3 linked regions of the Oryctolagus cuniculus genome follow. The protein of the gene in region 3 interacts with the protein of the main gene of each other region in a biochemical or structural test. Links are inferred from orthologs where the notes say so. Each region holds a gene or a part of one and is shown on either strand. Other genes may lie near its edges.

What was found.
Region 1: the proteins of JUN (region 3) and RUNX1 form a complex in vitro, tested with the Homo sapiens proteins (2 studies listed by BioGRID). The link is inferred for Oryctolagus cuniculus from reciprocal best matches to the Homo sapiens genes JUN and RUNX1.
Region 2: the proteins of JUN (region 3) and BATF3 form a complex in vitro, tested with the Homo sapiens proteins (2 studies listed by BioGRID and IntAct, with this or other methods). The link is inferred for Oryctolagus cuniculus from reciprocal best matches to the Homo sapiens genes JUN and BATF3.

Annotation. Positions count from the first base shown.
Region 1 is NC_091435.1:10,276,919-10,280,070, forward strand, and holds part of RUNX1 (runt-related transcription factor 1), read left to right. Parts: intron 1-658; exon of another isoform or gene 659-1,170; coding exon 1,171-1,643; 3' UTR 1,644-3,152.
Region 2 is NC_091444.1:27,153,702-27,157,450, reverse strand, and holds the start of BATF3 (basic leucine zipper transcriptional factor ATF-like 3), read left to right. Parts: upstream 1-1,297; 5' UTR 1,298-1,522; coding exon 1,523-1,600; intron 1,601-3,749. UniProt on the Homo sapiens protein: AP-1 family transcription factor that controls the differentiation of CD8(+) thymic conventional dendritic cells in the immune system.
Region 3 is NC_091438.1:114,258,663-114,261,627, reverse strand, and holds JUN (transcription factor Jun), read right to left. Parts: upstream 1,623-2,965; coding exon 609-1,622; 3' UTR 508-608; downstream 1-507. UniProt on the Homo sapiens protein: Transcription factor that recognizes and binds to the AP-1 consensus motif 5'-TGA[GC]TCA-3'.

The sequences.
Region 1 (3,152 bases), on a different chromosome or scaffold from region 3:
GATTTTCTTTCAACCTTTCAAACAAGTAAAACGCATTCTTAGCCCCTGGGACATAGAGCAATTGGCAGCAGCCATTTTTGGCTGGTGGGATCTGGTTTGCTGACATGGATTAGATCAGTATTCCAGACATATCATATTATAGTACATGTACACTGCACACGTATCCATTCTGTTATATACTACATTCCTAGCGTTTATGTAATGCTCTGCTGTATCGTGTCATATGTCACATGCCTTATTAAATTACCTGATGTTCTCTTAATAGACTGTCACCCATGACTGTACTTCACCCCACCACCCTCCCCGTCTACCTGGCCCGTAGTCCCCTGGGTAGACCCCTGAGTAGTCCCCATCCTCCTGGACCATGGCATGCTGGGTAGTGCCCACCTTCCTGGGCCGTGGCATGCTGGGTAGTGCCCACCTTCCTGGACTGTCGCAATCTGGGTTGTCCCCACCTTCCTGGCCCGTGGCATGCTGGGTAGTCCCCAACTTCTTGGGCCGTGACATTCTGGGTAGTCCCCCACCTTCCCGGGCCCTGGCATGCTGGGTAGGCCCCTCTTCCTGGACCATGGCATTCTGGGTAGTCCCCACCTTCCCAGACCGTGGCACGTTGGGTAGTGCCTACCTTAAGGGCCTTGGCACACAGGGTAGTCCTCACCTTCCAGGGCCTTGGCATGCTGGGTAGCCCCTCTTCCTGGACCGTGGCATTCTGGGTAGTCTCCACCTTCCTGGGCCCTGGCACACTGGGTAGTCCCCACCTTCCCAGGCTGTGGCATGCTGGGTAGTTCCCACTTTCCTTGGCCCTGGCACACTGGGTAGCCCCCTCTTCCTGGACCGTGGCATTCTGGGTAGCCCCCTCTTCCTGGGCCCTGGCACACTGGGTAGCCCCTCTTCCTGGACCGTCTGGGTAGTCCCCCTCTTCCTGGGCCCTGGCACGCTGGGTAGTTCCCACTTTCCTTGGCCCTGGCATGCTGGGTAGTCCCCACCTTCCTGGACCGTGGCATTCTGGGTAGCCCCTCTTCCTGGACCACGGCATTCTGGGTAGCCCTCTCTTCCTGGGCCACGGCATGCTGGGTAGTCCCCACCTTCCCGGGCCCTGGCACGCTGGGTGGTTACCCGCCATGGCTTCCCCAGCCCGACTCACGCGCTGTTTTCTCGCCCGCCCTGCAGCGGCCCCCGACCTGACGTTCAGCGACCCGCGCCAGTTCCCCGCGCTGCCCTCCATCTCAGACCCTCGCATGCACTACCCCGGCGCCTTCACCTACTCCCCGACGCCCGTCACGTCGGGCATCGGCATCGGGATGTCGGCCATGAGCTCGGCCACGCGCTACCACACGTACCTGCCGCCGCCCTACCCCGGCTCGTCGCAGGCGCAGGGCGGCCCGTTCCAGGCCAGCTCGCCCTCCTACCACCTGTACTACGGCGCCTCGGCCGGCTCCTACCAGTTCTCCATGGTGGGCGGCGAGCGCTCGCCGCCGCGCATCCTGCCGCCCTGCACCAACGCCTCCACGGGCTCGGCGCTGCTCAACCCCAGCCTCCCGAACCAGAGCGACGTGGTGGAGGCCGAGGGCAGCCACAGCAACTCGCCCACCAACATGGCGCCCGCCGCGCGCCTGGAGGAGGCCGTGTGGCGGCCCTACTGAGCGGCCTGGCGCCGGAGCCCGGGCCCAGCCGCAGGAGGATCCCGGAGGGAAACTGTGAATGCTTCTGATTTAGCAATGCTGTGAATAAAAGAGAGATTTTATACCCTTGACTTCACTTTTTAGCCAAGTCGTTTCTTCCAAAGAGTGTGGAATCTGGGGGCCGGGGGCGGGGGAAGAGGGGTGCAACTCGTCCTGGTTGGCATCGAATCCTTATTGTGTTTCTTTTCCGCACCTTATAAATGGCAAGATGCGTATTTGCATTGGGGTGGTTTTTATGTTCATGTACACGAGATACAAATTTGAGCTTGCTTCTTTCTTGCTTTGACAATTGAAAGAACCATATGATTCCCTTTTCTGTAAGTTTTATTTAACTTTCGGACTTTTGGGTAGCTGTATCGTTTTTGAGAGACAGCTACAGCTTTGGGTCATTTTTTTTAACTACTGTATTCCCACAAGGAATCCCGAGATATTTATGTATCTTGATGTTCAGACATTTACTTACGTGTTGATACTTTTTTAATTATTTAAATGTACTTATATTAAGAAAAATATCAAGTACTACATTTTTTTTTGTTTTGTTTGTGATAGAAACCAGAGTTAAACATGTCATATTGAAGAAGGCTGGGGGAAAAAAAAAAAAGGATGGCTAATGTGATCACTTGGTTATCTAGAAATATTGTTTACATTAAACTCCCTTTTATGTTAATCAAACAAGTTGGTAGCTAATGCAGCAATGTTTTTAATAGGATTTTTAGACACTGAGGGTCACTCCAAGGATCAGAAGTATGGAATTTTCTGGTAAGCTCTACAAAGGGTCTGATGTTTGGCTCCTTCCCTTCAAACGGGGAAGGTCAAATCTGGCCCCAGAGGGTTCAGGCAGGTGCCAGTGATTATACTCCTGGGGAGGATTTGATTTCTGTCCAGGGGTTTGCTCACTCCGTGGCCTCCTGTGATTTCTGACATGCTTTGTAACAGAACACATCCCAGGAGGAGCGCTATTTACATAGGAGCCAAAGTAGTGTATATAGGGATTTCTTAACTGCTCAGTTCTGGGGTAGCAAGAAAACAGTCCTCTTTGGACCAGTACCTGTTGATTGACATAGAACAAAATTTGTGGCCGGCCACCTGTGGTGGCAGAGGAAGGGTCCAGACCAGCTGCCTTTGAAGGCTGAAGCCTCCGAGGGTGGACCCAGAGGCCTGCAGGAGCCAGTCCTCCTGCGCCCACATCAGCGCTGAGTCATGAGGCAGACGGCACAGGCCCTCACCCTGTGCTGCTCACGCGCCAGCCTCTCTCTGTCGCTTCCCCCAGGCTGAGGCTTTGCCGCATGGGCTGTGCGCTGTTAGCCGTAGCACGCCCGTGGCTGCAATCCAAATGTTATCGATGTCACTGTAAATTGTATGGCACTGTTTACTAGAGGGTTTGGTCAGAATGCAGTTGTTGTACAACTCGTAAATTCTAACTGCTGACGCTGACGAAGGTGTGCTTGAGATGATCTGGTGGTTATTTAA
Region 2 (3,749 bases), on a different chromosome or scaffold from region 3:
GTGGTGCGCTGTGCTGGGTACATCGTGTGCACCTGTTCGAGGTGCTGGCCTGCGCGGGGTGCGACACAGGGATCTGAAAGAGTATTCCCCCCCCCGCCCCCAGTCCCCGTCTGCCCTGCGCCCTCTCGCCTCTTCCCTACCGCCCAGCTCCCCTGCTCTCCCGGACTTCCCACTGGCTTTCCTGCTGCTCTGAAGGCTTTGAAGACGAGTCTTAAATCCTGGCCGACAGTCACGTGCCCTGGCCTGGGAATCAGAATTTCTCGTGCCCCATCCCCCCCGCTGCCCACAAACCTGAAGGCCTCAGCGACTACACTGGGAAGGCATTTGTGACCTGCCCACCCGCCCACTCGGAGTCGCGGCTCGCTTCCCTTCCCAGCGCTGACTCCTCGCAGACCTCAAGCCGGTAACCGCTCGTTCTTTATTTGCTGGAACCACGTTCAACACTTATTAAGTGGCAGACAGGTTGGGGGTGGGGGGTGCAATACGCCCTGCCTTTGCCCTGTCCCCGCTGCGGCATGGGCGTGTGGCAGCAACCACACATCTTAAACCTACAGGCAGGGCACCTGCCGCTCCAATCTTGAACAAGGAAACGGTTCTGGTCCATCTGACTTCAGGATGATGGGGCCACAGTCCTGATCCGGTCGCCAGAGACGTTGTCCAACGTGTGGGATTCGCTCCCTGGGACGGCCGTCACTGTTCCCGTCCAGGACAGTGGCCCCTGCCCACGCTCCGGCTCACGGAATCCACGCTCGGGGCCGCCCCGCCTCGCTCCTTCCCGCAGCCCGGCAGGACCGGGAACAGAAAGGGCAGGTGCTCCCCGCAGAAAGGCCCGGGAACGCCCGCGCTCTGGGCGCGCGGCGCGACGCGTGAGGCTGCCGCCCCTCCCCGCGCCTGCGCCTCCTGGGCTGAGGACCGAGTGACGGTGGCGACCCAAAGGCCGAGTGCCCGGAGAGAGCCCCCAAAGCCCGACTCCCGCCGGGGCTGGGGGGCGGCAGGGAGGCGTAGGCAATGCGCAGACAAAACCACCACCCCCGACCACCCAGCTGCGTTTCTCACCCCGAGTGCCCCCAAGGCTGTGCCTCCCGACCCCCACCCACCCCAGCGTCGCCTCCCGCGGGTGGGCGTCGCGTTCCCTCCTCGGTTTCCGAGCCGCCACGTGACTTCGGGGCCCCAGCGAAAAGCCGCGCCTGAGGTGGGATTGGGGACCCCGAGGCGCAGCAGAGGGCGGGGAGAGGAGGAAACGGGGCGGAGGTGGGAGAAGGAGGCGGGGCGCACTTGGGGACGGGAAGGACCGCGGGCCGCGACCCGGGGGTGGGGAGCCCGGGCGGACGCGCGGCGCCGGCGAGCCGGGAGAGCGGGAAGCCCGCGGGGGCGGGGCGCAAGCCGACGGCCAGGTGCGGGCGAGGCGATGCGGGCGGTCGGAGGGCGCTCGTAGCCCGGGCCCCGCGTGCAGGGCGCCGCGGGCCGGGCCGCGCCTCCACCGGGCTGCGCGCGGGGCGGGCCGGCTGCACCAGCGCCCGGCATGTCGCAGGGGCTCCCGGCCGCTGGCGGCGTCCTGCAGAGGAGCGTCGCGGCGCCGGGGCATCAGCAGCAGCCGCAGGTAGTGGGCGAGAGACTCTGGGAGGGCCGCGGGGGCTCGCGGGTGGAGGGCGCTGCCGGCGCCAGAGACGAGTGGGACTAGGGGCGTGGGGGCGATGGCCCGGGGGTCCCGGCGTGCGCTTCGGCCGCGCCTGGGAGGGCTCCGAGTCCTCCGAGAGTGGAAAGGCCGCAGGGAGCGGACGTCCACTGTGGCAGGGCACTGCCCGCGCATCCTGGCACGTGGGGTCCACGCTGCCCCAGGGCCGTCGGTCCGGGCGCCGCCGAAGGCCACCACCCCGCAGCCGGCGTTTCCGGAGGGGCCCTTCAACCCAAAGGGGCGGCTCGTCCCCAGCCACTCCCAACACCCACCCTCCTCTGGCGGCTGCTGGAATGGGGAACGCGGTACGGGTCAGCCTGGGGGTGTGGGGCGGGGGCCGCGGCGGGGAGACTCCACCCCCAGCTCTGGTAGAACCCCCTCGTCCCCCTACCCCCCCTGCCGGCTCCCAGTCGGTCCTCCGCGCCGTCCCCAGCAGCACTTAGAGCTGTGCACGCAGAAAACTGGGACTAGGCTGCCGGCGGGGACGGCCCCTCGGAGCCTTAGCGCCCAGCTCCGCTTGGCGGCGGTTGGGGCTGGTTCTCGCGCTCTCTCCCCGGTGTGTGTCCGGCGCCTTTGGGCCTCGGCATCGCCACCCAGGCTGAGCAGCCTCGGCAATTCGCTTAATCTCTCCGTGCCTCGGTTTCCCCATTTGTGAAATGAGTAGAATAACGTCGACCTCCCAGGATTTTTTGTGAAAACTGAGTGAGACGTGCTTCATCATATAGGAACATCTCAAAATTGTACTCCCCTCTTTCTGCCTTAAGTAGTTCTGCCGGGCGGGCAGGTGTGACACGCATCCCTGATAGGTAATAAATCCAGTTTAGCGTGTCAGCTCCCAGAGGCATGATTTAGTGAAAAGCACTGTGAAGATTCAATTAAAAACAGCAGCCTCGGTTAGGGCAGGTAGCTTCAGGAGAGCAGGCTGCGTGCCCACGGGAGCTTCAGGATAGAATCTCGCTGTGTCCGGTGCCAGCCCCCAGCGCCAGGCTGTTGGCCGAAGGCAGCGGGGAGCACCAACATCTGTTCAGGAATTGTGTCCCCACCGCATAGGCAGTGCCTAGCACACCTGCAGGTGCTCCGAAAGAATGAATGAATCACAGTCGGGAACGGAAAACTCAGAGAAGTTCGGTCATTTACTCCAGGCCATCTGACAGTAAGAGACAAAGCCAGGATCCTTGACGGTCTGCGTGTCTTTAGCAAGACTTCTTGGCCTCTCTACAAGATTACCTTGTTACACCTGTCTCTATTCTATTATAATGTAAACTATTTATTCTTCTCCTTTTATATCTTTATATTTTTGCATATGCTGGGACTTCTTTCCTACTGGAAGTTGGGGAGATGATATGTGCCTGTCTTATTTGGAATGCAAGGCCAGATAAGATAACTTAAAATATCCATTAGTTTGTGTTATTTGCTTTCCATGAATAATTGAGTAGCTTTCTGTGTTTGCAACCCCACTAACCTCTTGGTTTTTAGACTCTTTAGAAAGAAGGTTTGTGTGTGTGTGTGTGTGTGTGTGTGTGTGTTTCCCTTGATATCTTCTCACTGGGCTCTGGAAAGCAAATACTGCTCTTCTTTTCCATGATTTCTGTAACTGGCTGCAGAGTTTTTGTGCAGTAGCTCCGTTTTTCGGTCTCCCTGTTTCACGATTCCCCCTTGAAGGAGTTGACTAAGTTTGGCTCAGATCTCGTGTGAAGCTAAGAGTTTTCAGGACACATCATAACTTTGCTTTCTGATTCACTGTAACCTCTGAAGCAATGTCAGCCACACATTGTTCAAATGAGCACGTTGCCAGGGCACTTCAGATCGCTTGGCGTGTTGGTGGCGTCACGTGTTTGCCGTCAGGTGCGAGTGTAAGCGCGGCCTGCAGCCACTCTCCCGAGGACCTGCTCGGCCTGGCCGCGTGAGGGCTGGCGTCCAGCAAGCTCCACACAGCTATGCCCCTAGCTTTCCCAGTCTGCCCCGGCAGCACTGACACCACAGCTCTTCCAGGCACACGCCCTGTGGGGTAGAGGTTTGCCAACGGTGGTTTGGAGACTAACAGACCTGAGTTCCACTTCCTACTCCCTCACTC
Region 3 (2,965 bases):
AATAACTTACAAAGGCATGAAGCTGTTTATTGACAGTAATCAGCTTTCATCAAATTAAAAAATAGATATCTGTACATACACGGTTAACGAAGGCAGGCCAGAAAGAGTGTATCTGCAGGCTCAGCCTGGCCCTCCCCGGCTCCCTCCCCGCCCCCCGCCGCCCCTCCCCAGCCCTCCCGGTCGGGTTCTTAAGGAGTACTACAGAAGCGATCTACAGTCTCTATGGCAGTTTGTCACCCCGCCCCTCCCCCCCTTTAATACTGAATGAGATCGAATGTTAGGTCCATGCAGTTCTTGGTCAATGTTAAAGAAAAGTCTACCGTCGTGATGGCGCGGGGACAGCCCTTCCGCCGAGCGGGGCCGCCCGCAGGCGGCCGCTCCCTGGCTCCGCGCCAAGGGGAGCGCGCGCCAAGTCCTTCCCACTCGTGCACACTGGGGGCGCCGTCAGGACGCAACCCAGCCCGGCTTGGATACCCTTGGCCTTAGTCCTCGGACGCGTCTTTTTTATTTTTTTCTCGCTGTCGCAACCGGTCAAGTTCGCAAGACTGTCTCTCTGTTGGTTTTGTTTTCTTTTTCTTCGTCGCCCCTCAGCCCTCGACAGTCTGTCCTCAGAACGTTTGCAACTGCTGCGTTAGCATGAGTTGGCACCCGCTGTTAACGTGGTTCATGACTTTCTGTTTCAGCTGTGCCACCTGTTCCCTGAGCATGTTGGCCGTGGACGCCAGCTCCGAGTTCTGCGCTTTCAAGGTTTTCACTTTTTCCTCCAGCCGAGCGATCCTCTCCAGCTTCCTTTTCCGGCACTTGGAGGCGGCGATGCGGTTCCTCATGCGCTTCCTCTCCGCCTTGATCCGCTCCTGGGACTCCATGTCAATGGGGGACAGGGGCGGCGTCTCGCCGGGCATCTCGGGCACGGTCTGCGGCTCCTCCTTGAGCGCCTGCAGCCGCGGGTGCTGCACGGGGATCTGCTGGGGCAGGTGGTGCGGCGGCTGCGGCGGCGGCGGCGGCTGTTGCTGCTGGGGCTGCGCGGGAAAGGCCAGGCCGGCCGCGCCGTAGGAGGGCGCCCCGCCGCCGCTGCTCAGCGCGCTCGGGTTGAAGTTGCTGAGGTTGGCGTAGACAGGCGGCTCGCTGTGCAGGCCGGCGCTGAAGCCGCCGCTGCCGCCGCCGCCGCCCGCCACCGAGGCCACGGCCGGAGCCACCATGCCCGCCCCGCTGACCGGCTGCGCCGCGGACGTGACGCTGGGCAGCGTGTTCTGGCTGTGCAGCTCGGCCAGGGCGCGCACGAAGCCCTCGGCGAAGCCCTCCTGCTCGTCGGTCACGTTCTTGGGGCACAGGAACTGGGTGGGGGTCGGCGTGGTGGTGATGTGCCCGTTGCTGGACTGGATGATGAGGCGCTCCAGCTCGGGCGACGCCAGCTTGAGCAGCCCCACGTCGGGAGAGGTGAGGAGGTCCGAGTTCTTGGCGCGGAGGTGCGGCTTCAGGCTGCCCACCGGGTCGGCCAGGTTCAGGGTCATGCTCTGTTTCAGGATCTTGGGGTTACTGTAGCCGTAGGCGCCGCTCTCGGTCTGCAGGAACGAGGCGTTGAGGGCATCGTCGTAGAAGGTCGTTTCCATCTTTGCACTCATAGAACAGTCCGTCACTTCACGTGGGCTTACTTTGGGCTGCGCGCACAAGTTTCGGGGCCGCGACAGCGCGCTGGCGGGCGGGGAGCACCCCGCGCCTCCCCGGGCCTCTGGCAAAGGAAAAGTTTCGGAGCGCGCGCGCACCCGCGGGCTGTCTTCCCCCTGGGCGCCCCGCTCACCGGCCCCCGCTCCCGGGAGCGGCGGGGTTCAGACGCTCGCCCGCACTCCTCGGCCGCTCGCGCGCGCCTGCCCGCCTTTGAAAAGTCGCGGTCACTCACTGCGCGCCCTTCGGAGGCTCCCCGGCGGCGCGGCGCGGTGCCCCGCAGTGGCGGCGGGTCTCGGCCGCCCGGACTCCCGGAGACTGTGCCCTCTTCCGCTGCGAGGGGCAGGGGGCTCCCGGCGGCAGCGGCTCGCGCCGGTCAAGTTCAGAGGCCGGGGCGAGCGGAGCCGCGCGCGCGTCGCTCCTCTTCGCTCCTCTCTCCGCCGCCTTGCTTTTCTTTGCTGCCGCCGCGGCAAGCCCAAATAGCGCAGGAAAGGTTTGCAAAAGTTCGCTCCGGGACTCCGGGCCACTTGTCCCCGGTCCTCCCGGCTCGGAAAGTTCTTGGCCGCTGCAGTCGCCGCTCTCCGCGGCTGTCAGCTGCGCTCGTGCGGTGGGGCTCTCCTCCCCGGGGGCGGCTGGAGAAGCAGCAGCTCTCCAGGTGCTCCCCCCAAACACCAGCCCGGGATCCACAGGCGCTAGCGCGGGGCAGTTGGCAAAGCAACGCAGCCGTGCGGATCGCACTCTACGGGCGTCCTGGCGGGGCGGGCGGACTGTGTCTGTGTGTCTGTCTCCCTCAATCCGCGCACCTCCACTCCCGCCTCGCCGCTTCAGCCACACTCAGTGCAACTCTGAGCCCTTATCCAGCCCGAGCGCAACACTTATCTGCTACCAGTCAACCCCTAAAAATAGCCCATGATGTCACCCCAAGGCCTTCCCATTGGCTCGCGTCGCTCTCTGGGGGGCGGGCCCGCCCGTCGCCATGGAGACCCCACCCTAGAAGATTCTTCTTCGGGCCCGCGGAGGCTCACGGGATGAGGTAATGCTCCGCTGCCCTCCTACAGTTGGGCCCTTCTTTCTCCTCCTCTCCCCCTCCCCCTCCGCGCGCCTCTAGCCCCTCTCTTCCCGGTCCCCTCCCGGCCCGTCTTTCCCGGCCCGCCCGGTGCATTGTGGGCTGACGTCTTGGGGTTTGACTGTCTAGTGACGGTGGCCGCCGCGAGCGAGCGAGCGGGCGGGCGGGCGGCCGGACGCTCGCAGCCGCTGACGGAGGCGGGGGCTCAAGTTCAGGGCTCCAGACGCGGATGGCGGG